3 linked regions of the Sus scrofa genome follow. The main gene of each other region encodes a partner of the protein of the gene in region 2 in a complex. Links are inferred from orthologs where the notes say so. Each region holds a gene or a part of one and is shown on either strand. Other genes may lie near its edges.

Evidence for each region. Proteins that work in one complex are often made in the same cells at the same time.
Region 1: the proteins of RAB7A (region 2) and RILP are in contact, whole or in part, in a crystal structure (PDB 1YHN), measured with the Homo sapiens proteins. The link is inferred for Sus scrofa from reciprocal best matches to the Homo sapiens genes RAB7A and RILP. Residues at the interface, in NP_004628.4 of Homo sapiens: Ser3, Lys6, Leu8, Ile41, Gly42, Ala43, Asp44, Phe45, Leu46, Thr47, Thr58, Trp62, Ser72, Leu73, Val75, Leu182, Tyr183, Asn184, Glu185; in NP_113618.2 of Homo sapiens: Phe248, Glu249, Leu252, Gln253, Arg255, Asn256, Lys259, Ala260, Phe263, Leu264, Glu267, Glu268, Tyr271, Arg274, Glu275.
Region 3: the proteins of RAB7A (region 2) and RUBCN are in contact, whole or in part, in a crystal structure (PDB 6WCW), measured with the Homo sapiens proteins. The link is inferred for Sus scrofa from reciprocal best matches to the Homo sapiens genes RAB7A and RUBCN. Residues at the interface, in NP_004628.4 of Homo sapiens: Ile41, Gly42, Ala43, Asp44, Trp62, Gln71, Ser72, Leu73, Gly74, Val75, Ala76, Phe77, Arg79, Ser101, Asp104, Glu105, Ile108, Gln109, Ser111; in NP_055502.1 of Homo sapiens: His818, Asn821, Met822, Lys824, Thr825, Arg827, Leu883, Gln885, Ala886, Lys887, Gly888, Phe889, Ile890, Glu892, Gln895, Glu897, Ile900, Pro903, Cys915, Lys916, Arg931, Arg934, Arg938.

The regions. Positions count from the first base shown.
Region 1 is NC_010454.4:47,853,840-47,857,466, forward strand, and holds part of RILP (rab-interacting lysosomal protein), read right to left. Parts: intron 3,558-3,627; coding exon 3,468-3,557; intron 3,240-3,467; coding exon 3,095-3,239; 3' UTR 2,274-3,094; coding exon of another isoform or gene 2,056-2,273; intron 1,731-2,055; coding exon of another isoform or gene 1,669-1,730; intron 1,370-1,668; coding exon of another isoform or gene 1,268-1,369; intron 452-1,267; coding exon of another isoform or gene 1-451. Other genes in the region: SCARF1 (scavenger receptor class F member 1), read right to left, coding at 1-451, 1,268-1,369, 1,669-1,730, 2,056-2,273. UniProt on the Homo sapiens protein: Rab effector playing a role in late endocytic transport to degradative compartments. Involved in the regulation of lysosomal morphology and distribution.
Region 2 is NC_010455.5:71,883,944-71,888,204, forward strand, and holds the start of RAB7A (ras-related protein Rab-7a), read right to left. Parts: upstream 2,816-4,261; 5' UTR 2,679-2,815; intron 1-2,678.
Region 3 is NC_010455.5:134,322,263-134,325,889, reverse strand, and holds part of RUBCN (uncharacterized protein LOC100153714), read left to right. Parts: intron 1-135; coding exon 136-292; intron 293-916; coding exon 917-1,450; intron 1,451-3,099; coding exon of another isoform or gene 3,100-3,144; intron 3,145-3,627.

The sequences.
Region 1 (3,627 bases), on a different chromosome or scaffold from region 2:
CAGATGCACTGGCCGGAGGCGGCGCTGCAGCGGCCGCGCACGCACTCGCACGGTTGCCGGCACTCAGGGCCCCACCAGCCCGGCCGGCAGGCGCAGCGGCCCGACTCCTGTGCGCACGGCGAGCCGTGGCAGGGGCAGCGGAAGCTGCAGCGGCGGCCCCACCAGCCGGGCTCGCATAGGCAGGAACCGGTGGCCGGATCGCAGCGCGCGGCCGCCGGGTTGCACTGGCACGGGCGGCGGCACGTGGACGACCACCAGCCGGGTTCGCAGTGACACGCGCCTGTCTCGGGGTCGCAACGCCCGTGCGGGCCGCAGGCGCACGGGAACTCGCAGCGGCTGCCCCAGCGGTCGGGTTGGCAGCGGCACACGCCCGTGGCTGGCTCGCACTGGCCGTGCGGGTGGCAGGTGCAGGTCTCCCGGCAGTCGGGGCCCCAGTACTGGCCAGGGCAGCCTGCGGGGGGGCGGGGGGGCGGAAGAGGGGTTAGTGGGCTCAGGGCCAGGGACGGATCCCCGCTCTGCGCCCCCTTCCACGAGGAAGAGGGGGCGCTGGGCCCGCCCTCCAAGAGCCGGGGACAGCCTATCCTCCTGGGGCACAGCTCACTTCCTGCCCCAGACTCTAACTACAAAAATTCCTAGCAGTGGCCCAGCCTCCCACTTCCACATTCCAGAACACACTTAAGGATCACGAGTGGGAAAGGGCCTTTGGCCCAGAGTCACATAGAAGTGGTGGGCCTTCATCCTGCCCCTCCTCCCTCTCATGGGGCCCCCACTGTATCTACCCGGATACGGCCCATTAGGGTGGCAGGAGCCACAACCCCCCCCCCCCCCCCCCCCCCGTTTCTCCTCTCAACCCTGACTCCTAGGCTGCCTGCTGGCTATCCTGCCTGCCGGCCGCTTTCCCAAGCCCCTCTTTCTGCCAGAGAGGGCACACGGTCCAGCCACCCTCCACACAGGCATGTAGTGTATGCCAGGGAGAATACATCCATTTTGCAGTTAATGGGAATCCCCAGCATCTTTTCTGAGAAGTTGAAAGGGAAGATGAAAAACTGAAGCTGTGGGAGAGCTTTGTGGATATGGGTAAAAATCAAATGACTCAAGGCCTCTTCCAAGACGGCGTCACTTCCTGTCTCTGGACCTCAGTTTCCTCGGGGAAGCTTGGAGGGATTCTGGCCCTGCTGTTCTAGGATCACATTCCCACCTGCTTCACCTCCCCTCTCCCCCAGTCCTGCCCAGCAACTTCATCCTTCAGGAGAGACTCAGGACTCACGGGAGTTGCACTGGGCCCCGAAGAATCCAGGTTTGCATCGACAGAGGCCTGGTTTCACACATACCTCGTCTTGCCCGCAGGCATCCAGCCCCTCGCAGATGGCTGAAAAACACCCCACCCAAGTTGGAAGGACAGGGCTGCGAGAGACCAGGGGACACTCTGCCCTTCTCACTGGCTCTCGGTGCCCTGCCCCCCTCAAGAGCTGACTCCTTGGCTGGCGGGGGGCGGTGGGCCGCAGGCGGCGGTGGGGGGAGTTGTCACAGGCCAGTCCCTAGGTCTAGGGCTCAGGAGGGCAAATAGACCCCAGGAGGACAGGAAGGAGGGTCACTTGCTATTTCCTCCCTTCTCCTTGGGTGGGGGTGGGAGTAGGGGTGGGGGTGGGTCCATTCCTGGCTACTCACGGATGGTGCATTCTTGATCTTTCTGCCTCCAGCCTGGGCAGCACTGGAGCTCAGCAGAGGGGCTGTGGGGCAGAGAGGGGTCAGCAGCGGGGGGGAGGGGGGGAACAGCCTGGCTCCAGGGTGGGTCACTGCCTCTGGCTGAGATATGGGAGGTGTTGCCTCAGCCCCATCAGGCAAGCCTGGCCAAGAGTCACAGCCCCAGTGTCCCCAATCCCTGTCCCTGGACTTTCTGCCATCTGCCCTGACTATCTGCCCCCCTCCAGGCTGTCCCTGAACCCCTTGTGGTTTAGCCCCATGATGTCTTTCCTCACGTCCTCCTCCCCCCCAAAGCTTCAACACCAGTTCAGCCCTCCCCGCCCCCCCACATCCGACCGCCACAAGACCCACCTGCTGGCCACGCAGACGTGCAGCCCATTGGGGTCCAGCTCAGACCCCCGGGTCCCCCAGGTCCAGAGCAGCAGCAGAGGGAACAACAGCCTCGGCCCCATGGCAGCCGGTGCAGCTGGAGGGTTCAGCCCAGTCTGGCCCCCACAGCTCCCAACCCCCTCCCTGCTTCCTCCCAAGGCTTTTCCTGAGGAAACCAGGCCGGAGGGGCGGGCTGCCATGAGGCACCTCCCTGAGAGGCTGGGCAGGCACAGAGAGGACCAGACGCCCAGCACTGAAAGGAAGGCCAACGGCGAGGGCTGAGTCGGGGCTTCGGGGGCTGCTTTCAGTCTGGAGGGGGCAGGAAGACGGGGCTGTAAGTCTCAGTATTGGTGACAGGCAAGGGGGTGCGCCATGGATGTTCCTGGTCACATTCCCCAAGGGAAGCCCGAGCCGGGAGAAGCTTCCCCACTCGGTGACAACCGAGGGGAACTTCCGGGAAGAGCTGAGCAGGGGCAGGCCACGGACAGACAGACGTGGAGCAGTTTCTGGGTATCAAGGGCAGTTGCTTTATTATAATTAGCTTAGGCCATCCGTACCAACCCCCGGGAGGGAGGAAGTCAGCTCTCCATTTCATGGAGGGGGAAACTCTCGGAGAAGAAGCACTTTCATGTGGCCCCGAGGCTGGGCCCAGAGATATAAGAAGGAAGGTAGGCTGAACTCCCCGGCACGCCCTGGCTCAGGCCGGGATTAGAAAAGAGCTTTGGGGAGTTCCCTTGTGACTCAGAGGGTTAAGGATTGGGCATAGTCACTGCAGTGGCTCCAGTCTCTGCGGTGGCGCAGCTTTGATCCCTGGCCCGGGAACTTCCATGTGTCATGGGTGCAACCCCCACCCCCCCAAAAAAAGAGATAGAGAAAAGACAGCAGCGAGCTTGGGGGGGAAGGAGGGCACCCTGGCCTCATGCGAGGGCACACATTCACCCACAGACAGACTCCAAAGTCAGGTCTCTTGGGCAACTGATGCCCCAGTGGAAGATACTCATCAAGAGCAGAGCAGGGCCGGTCAGGAGCTGGGGGCTGTCAGGCTGCCTACAGGGTCCAAATGGGGTGGTGCTGTGGCCTCCTCTCCTGCTCGCAGCTCTCTGGGAGCTGCACTGCTGGCGTCAGCTTCAGGGGCTTCTGCTTCACCCCGATACCACAGGCCAAAGCTAGGGGGAGAGCCGAGAGGTCAAGGATGGGGCTGAAGGCAGGGGGTGCTAGAAAAAGGGGACTCAAGTGGAAGAAAAGGGAGCATGAGGCGGGGGGAGGTCAAGGGGCCACCGGGGGAGCAGGAGGGGACAGGCATGCTCAGAGTCCAGGCCAAGCGGGGTGAGCACCAGCGGAGCAGAAAAGGTGGTGCCCCCCCGCCCCCCGCCCGTCCTCTTCCCCCAACATACAAACTCCGTATTCTGGACTCAGGGGGTGGAGGTGGTGGGTGGTCTCCCTTGTCGCTGGAGAGCAGGAGCCAGGAGCCATCCTCATCGTCACTGACGCCGAGGAGAGAGGAGATGGGAAGGTCATTAATCAGGGCCCTGAGGGACCACAGGAGTCGGAGTC
Region 2 (4,261 bases):
GATCCAAGCCGAGTCTGCAACCTACACCATAGCTCATGGCAATACTGGATCCTTTCACCCACTAAGCAAGGCCAGGGATCCAACCTGAGTCCTCATGGATACCAGTTGGATTCATTACTGCTGAGCCACACAGGAACTCCATGATTAGCATGTTTGATATAAAAATATCAAGTCTTTTTTGTGGGCAAAAATTTTTCCTCAAAATTGTTTTCCATTTTACATGCTATTTTAATGTGTTTTTTAAACTTATTTTGACATAAACAGAAAAGTTGCAAAGATAGTAAAAAGAATCCCCATGTACCCTTCACCCAGATGTACTGCCTTTTAAAAATTAATTGCAGGGAGTTCTCATGTGGTGCAGTTGTCACTGCAGTGGGGGTGGGTGGGCAGGGTCGGTCTGATGCTTTGGTGACAGATTCAATCCCTGGCCAGGGAACTTCCATATGCCTTGGGTGCAGCCAAAAAAAAAAAAAAAAAATTAATTGCACACTATGAACATTTTTTTATGTCCACAGACACCATGGCCAACATTTATTACTGGCCAGGTGAGCCTTTTATCCACCATGACTCTGCTATCCCCACAATAACCCCTTAAGACGAATACCATAATTTCCCACGCCTCACATATGAATAAATCAGGCCTTAGATGCTTCCAAAATGTCACTTCACAATCCTTTGTTATGGATCTTTGATTCCTATATTTGTGCACCTACTCCTTAGGTTTTCGATGCCATCTCTAAGTAAGATTATCCACAAAATTCCCCCAAGCCTGCTGGCAGGGCTGAAGGGAGGTCCACAATCACCACAGCACCTTAAATCCATGTCCCATCACCAGGCTACGCCATGGCCCATAATGCACAATGACTGACTACATTTAAAATCTTATAGTGATCTTGTAAACAGCTTAATGTTTCATTTATGATTCAAAATTACCTCATCAAATTTAAATATGTAAATCATACTCTCCTCTCTGCAACCCTACTGGATATTAGTTCATGTAAAAATGTGTGTCCATCCTATGTTCACAGAGTTATTCACAGTAGCAAACAGTAGAAGCAAACCAGGTGTCTACGAACAGATGAATAAATAAAATGCGGTGTCAGGGTGGAAAAATTTTCCTTCTATTTTTCTAATTTCTTTGGCTAGTCTAATGGTTAAATTGTCATAAAAAAGATTAATAGGCAAGGAACCAACTTAATTTCATATGTATGGGAGCCCTATAAAAATAAGAAGGTAGTCAGGCAAGTGAGGCTTATCTGCCCTCCTGAGCTGAGGGAAGGGTTGGGGCTGGAGCTTCAGAGGGGAGGAGGGCCACTCACAAGAAGAGAAGAGCAGGGCAGAGGCTTGGTGATTAGATGTTTGTCCTGCCATGCATGTAAGTCTTTTATTTTATTTTATTTTGATTTATTTATTTATTTTTTGTCTTTTTGCTATTTCTTTGGGCCGCTCCTGCGGCATATGGAGGTTCCCAGGCTAGGGGTCGAATCGGAGCTGGAGCCGCCGGCCTACACCAGAGCCACAGCAACGCGGGATCCGAGCTGCGTCTGCAACCTACACCACAGCTCACGGCAACGCCGGATCGTTAACCCACTGAGCAAGGCCAGGGACCGAACCTGCAACCTCATGGTTCCTAGTGGGATTCGTTAACCACTGCGCCACGACGGGAACTCCCCAAGTAAGTCTTTTAGATAGAAAAGTTTCTCTCTGGTAATTGCTTTTTCTGGTCTGGTCCTTATTTAAATTCTTTTAGGCAGTTAAGGGAGAGCTACAGGCTTTCCCTCATATTGCTGGATACTGACTGCCTTTGGCTCAAAGCAACCCGCGTGCCAAGTTGGCACACTTGGGGTGGCTATTCCGCTACCCTTCAGGGCTCGTGAAAACCACAGAACATCAACCTGCCTTGAAAAAGAAAGGAGCGTGCTACAGCGCGAGTGAACCTTGAAGACTTTATGCTCAGTGATGCACACCAGTCACAAAAGGACAAACACTCCAGGCCTCCTGTATGAGGAAAGAACGGTGGTTGCCAGGGACTGGGGAGGGACAAATGTGGAGGTACCCTTTCAAGGGTACAGAGCTTCGGTCTTCGGCAAAATGAACTTATATAGAGCCTGATCACAGAGCAACGCGATGTATTTAATGCCACTGAACTGCACACTCGAAAGCGACTAAGATGGTTAAGTTCCACGCTGTGTGTATATCACCGATATTAAGTGTTTTTTAAACTTACACAGGATGTGTTTCACATTAATTAAATAAGCAAAGGGTCTCCGACCCGACGCTGTGCTCAGAGGCAGCCCGCTCCGCCGCCCCACCTCCCGGCAGGCCTCCTGGGTTAAGCGTCACTCTGAGGCGACCCCGCGGCCAGAGAAGAAAACCTGCGAACCTGGAGCCCCGCACTGAGCCTTACACATGTCGTTCCCAATGGAACGTTTCGGGATTTGCGTCTTCGCTCGAGGAGACCGAGGCCCCGTGAGTCTTAAAGGAAAACACCAAGCCCGCAACAGTGGGCCCCCATACACTTCCTGGGCTCGGCTTCTCACTCTGTACCTTTCGCGGCAGGTCACGCCTCAGAAAGGAGGGACATAGCTCAGACCCCGGGTCACTGCTGACTTCGCGGCCCAACGAGGCGCTCTGAGGGCGGGGGAGCCGGGTGGGGAGGGAAACACGCCGCCGCTCACTTTCATTTCCGGCCGCCCAGCCAACGCCTCCATCTTGTGCCTTCTGCCGCTTACTGACAACAAAGGCGCCGGGAAATTCCGCGGGAGCCGTCTTTGGCTAGAAGCCTGCTGCAAGCCCTACGCCAGGATCGCCGCGTGTCCCAGAAACAGAACAGCTTCTCAGCGTTCCGAACCGCCCCATAGGCAGCCGCCATTTTGTACGGCAAACCCCTCTATTTCCGCGACCGGCCGCTGACGTAACTGGCGAGGTGCAAGCCAACAAAGGCCGCGCTCATGCCCTCTGGCGGCGGTACAGGAGCAGCATCGCCAGCTTTGACCTGCGGGGGGACTCTGCTTCCGGGTCTTCTCGGGGGGCGTGGCCCGGACCTGTGAGCCGAGCTGGGGCGCGGCTGCGGTGGCCTGGGAACGTGTGTATTGGCATTGGCGCGGGCGCTGTGTGCTGAGCCAGCATGGCTTGATGGGCTCGGTGATCTGTTAGTCACCGTGTCGGAAAGGCCCGTGCTGTTGTTGCCATTTACAGATGAGAAAACAGCGTCCACCTTGCCCTCCCCATTCAACCTTAGTGGAGGTGGCCCGGAGGTCCCTCCTTTATATAAAATGGGGTGACGTTATCTAATGGGCAGGGCAATTGCAAGGACTGAGTTTTCCAATCACAGTATCTCCTTAAATCTCCGTTTCTTACCCACTCGTAATAGTAAGAACAGCAACCCCTTACAGCATGTGTACCACTTGGTCTACAACCCTATGAGGCTCGTTTTACAGGTGAGGACAGGGAGGAAGGCTCAAAGTCCCCCAATAGCTGGTATTGGGGACAGTTTGGGGTGAGAGATTGACTAACTGTAACTGCTACACATTCTCCCTGTCAGGTGTGTGCAAAAAAGGTGGTAAAGTAACGGAGCCCAACCCTCATAGTTGTTGCAGCCTCCTGGGACAGACACTGGGGCTTCTAAGGCCAGGCCCCTCAGGGGAGGAAAGAGATGAGGTAGGGAAGAAGAGGGGGAGTACCAGAGGGAATGGGCTGGAGGCACCGAGAAGCATCTTTGTCCCTTCTGCACCAAAAGTGAGGAAATGGCTTTCAGCCTGAAAAATGGGAATCTGGGATGATAGTAATGATGATAATTGCTACAACACACTGAGCAGTTACCACAGCTACCACAGTAAGCCTTAATCCAGCCTCAAAAATGGAGACAACTTGGGAAAAGTAGGTCCCTTATCCTTGGCAGTCTTTTACTTACCTATGAAGCTAGGGCAGAGAGGATCCCTGTCCTGGCCACCTAGCCAAGTTGTTATGAGCATAGAGTTTTGGTGTTCTCTTTGCCATCTGATGTGGCTTTTTTTTTTTTTGTCTTTTTGCTATTTCTTGGGCCGCTCCCGCGGCATATGGAGGTTCCCAGGCTAGGGGTCCAATCGGAGCTGGAGCCACCAGCCTATACCACAGCCACAGCAACACAGGATCCGAGCCACGTCTGCAACCTACACCACAGCTCACGGCAACGCCGGATCGTTAACCCACTGAGCCAGGGCAGGGACCGAACCCGCAACCTCATGGTTCCTAGTCGGATTCGTTAATCACTGCGCCATGA
Region 3 (3,627 bases), about 62 Mb from region 2:
CTATGCTTTACCTTCAGTCTCTGGCAGCAGTTCAAACCTGCTGCCAAAGGCAGTTCCTGCCAGCGTTTGTAGCGCTAAGTGCTCTTCCTCTGAGGGCCTCTGTCCTTGACTCTGACACATGTTTTTTCTTTGTAGTTTGCCAGAAAGCATGAGAGCCCGCTGCTGGTGACAAAGAGCCAGAGCCTGACAGCTCTGCCTGGTTCAACATACACCCCTTCAACCAGCTATGCTCAGCATTCCTACTTTGGATCCTTCTCTAGCCACCAGCAGTCTATACCCACTCACAGCTCAGGTATGGAGGGAGCAAGGGGTAGTTAAGGCACATATCCCCGGCCCTGGAAAGCAAGAGGACTTACTGGGTGCTCACAGGCTGGCTATAGACCGTCGGGTTGGTGCAGTTTGTCAGGCTTCATGTCTTAATATGGAAATCTTAAAGAAGTATATGCAGCTAGCCTAGGATAATTCAGTAGAAGCATTAAAGTAACTGAGAAAAGAGATATTGTTTTACTTTCCCCTGGGTTTCTAATCCACGTTGCCAAGAAGGCATTTCTGTAATAAAAGCTAGCTAGCATTGATTCAGTGCCTGCCATTTGCCAGGCTGTGTTGTGATCAATTTGTATATATTCTCATTTGATCCTTAAAAGAATCCTCTGAGGTAGGTGTTATTATTATTGCTCATTTTATAGATGAGGAATGCATACTAATAAGCAATGAAGCCACTGTCTCAAGAGCTCATGCTTTTGGCTTAGCTGCATTTTTTATTTACCTTGTGTGACTTCATCTTTTCTGAGGTGACACCATGTGTCCTGGGCACCCAGTAACGATAGGGAGTTTTGTCCTTACTTGTGGAGAAGCCCTTCATGTTTACCAAAGGCTTCTAGCTCACCTTTCCCTTCCATTTATTTTTATATCCTAGAAAGAAGATCTACTTCCTTTTCACTGTCTGGCCCTCCTCGGAAGCCTCAAGAAAGCAGAGGGCATGTCTCATCAGCAGAGGATCAAACCATCCAAGCTCCTGTGCTTCCAGCATCTGCATTAGCCAGGGACTCCCCCTCAACCCCAAATGAGATGAGCTCCAGTACTCTGACCAGCCCCTTAGAAGCATCCTGGGTCAGCAGCCAGAATGATTCCCCAAGTGATGCCAGTGAGGGGCCTGAGTACTTGGCCATTGGCAACCTGGACCCCCGCGGCCGGACTGCCAGCTGTCAGAGTCACAACAGCAATGCTGAGAGCAGCAGTTCCAATTTGTTCTCCTCCAGCAGCTCCCAGAAGCCAGATTCTGCTGCTTCCTCCCTAGGGGACCAAGAGGGAGGTGGGCAGAGCCAGCTGTCCGGTGTCCTTCGCAGGTCTAGCTTCTCCGAGGGGCAAACACTCACTGTCACCGGTGGGGCAAAGAAGAGCCATACTCGCTCCCATTCAGATACCAACATTGCCTCCAGAGGAGCTCCAGGTAATGATAATCTCCAGCCCTCATCAGTAAGGGGCCTCCTGAATGTAGGGTAGGAGGCAAAGTTTGTTCTTAAGAGTCCTCAAATGGCAGAAAGAGAAGTTAAGTTTCTGTTGATGTAATGAGTATCCTGCTTATAATGAAAAAGAAAAGTTTGTAATGTAATGTGGCTATCCAAGAAATCTCTCTGGGAATATTTGTGTGTGTTCCTTTATGCCTTGCTAAATAGTAAGTACTTTCCTGGATCCTTTCACTAGTTCTTTAGCATCAGAAGACAGTGTGACTAATCACAGTTCAACTTCTAAATGCATATCTAAACTGAAGGGAAGTACTAATGAACTTTAAAAATAGTCCCATTAAATTCCTCCCCTTCCTGTGATTGCTGAGAAGTTTGGTCAGGATGTAGCAATGGTATAGGAAAGGCAGAGTGATACTAGGGTTTCCTTACTGAAACCAGAGATAATAGTGTATGTGGGATGATGTGACCTAGTAAATAAGCAGGTGGGGCTGAGTGCTACATCACTAATTCAGGTTGAAAGGCAGTCAGGTAAGGAGGCCCTGGCTGCTGGGACCTCCCTCACACAGACACCAGCTGCTATCTGAGAGCACCCTAGGCATGGCCAGGCTAGATCTCGCTGCTTTTGCCATATCCCTGCCACCATCTTTCCTAGGTTTTTGGTGTCTGGCAGGCTTTGGTTGGGTTTCATTTGTAAGAGAATCTCCCAGAAAGCAAGCAGAACATGGACTTTTGTGCTCAAAGCCAGTTCTGGGTGGAAAAGCCTCAGAAATAAAATATAAAAATAAAACAAGGAGTTCTCATCATGGCTCAGTGGTTAGCAAACCTGACTAGGAACCATGAGGACTCGGGTTTGATCCCTGACCTTGCTCAGTGGGTTAAGGATCCGGCGTTGCCATGAGCTGTGCTGTAGGTCACAGGCGCGGCTCGGATCCTGCGTTGCTGTGGCTGTGGCGTAGGCTGGCGGCTATAGTTCCGATTGGACCCCTAGCCTGGGAGCCTCCATATGTTGCCGGTGCGGCCCTAAAAAGACAAAAAAAAACCAAAAAATAAAAAAATAAAACTAAAAATTAAGAGCTAAAAAGGAAGATTTCCTTTCATGGCCTAAGCTGTAATTTCTAAAAGGTGAAAGCTAAGGTCCTCATCTGAGACTTCTGAACTGCAAACTTGTGTCTCTGTGTCCCCTCAGGGATGTGGTTTGGCTCATTGGAACTCTAGGAAAAAGAAAAAATCTCCAAATCAAAGCCTGTCTTCCCACGAGCTTTCTTAGATGTGAAGAGTGTTTGGGTTAGAACCTTCCTTCACATCGCCTGGAACAGACCTGGTATCTGCTGTACTCCAGGCCACTGGCGTTTGAGCATGTAAAACTTCCCTGCCCCCATTCTTGAATCCATGTGGATTCCAGAAACCACGGTAACCTGCACTGGAAAAGGGAGCTAGAGAAAACCTAAGCAGAAGGATCTGAGGGAGTGTGGGTCCTGTGCAGCTTCTCACATGACTCACCCCTCCCTCTGCGCTAGGGTTCCCTCTCAGGAGTTAAGCCCCCACCTTTGCTAGATAAGAGGACACTCTTTTTCTCACTCTGTCTATTCTCATTTTTCTGGACTCTCCTCTGCACCTGTCTGTCTACGTACAGGAGGCCCCAGGAATATCACCATTATAGTTGAAGATCCCATTGCAGGTTTGGGAGCCAGTCCTCCTCCTCGTCCACCACCATCCTCCTCCTTCTGCTCCTCTGTGACCATCTTGCCTAGTTCAAGAACTTCCTTTTCCATTCTGGTGTCAATTCACGTCTGGTTAGTCTGGTCCTGTAGCGGTGTTTGGACCTTTTTGTAAACTGATACCAGTATTTTGCATGGTATGTTTTCTGCCCACCACTTCCAGATGCCTCATTCAGTCTCTCAGCAGCTTCTGGGAGGTAGACTTATCCATCTTGTGTTGCCCAAAGATAAAACTGAGGTGTGCTTTTTGTGTAATTCATCATAATGAATCAATCAGTGGCAGAATGTTTCTTACAACTGAGTACTGTGAATTACCTTATTTTCCTTGAGTTAACACCAGAATGTGTTTTCTCCCCTTCCCATGGTCTTGGATTGAGTGCATGTTTTTTGCCTCTCCTACAGTTCGTTGTTCCCTTTTTCTTTCACCCGTCTTCCTTCTCCTG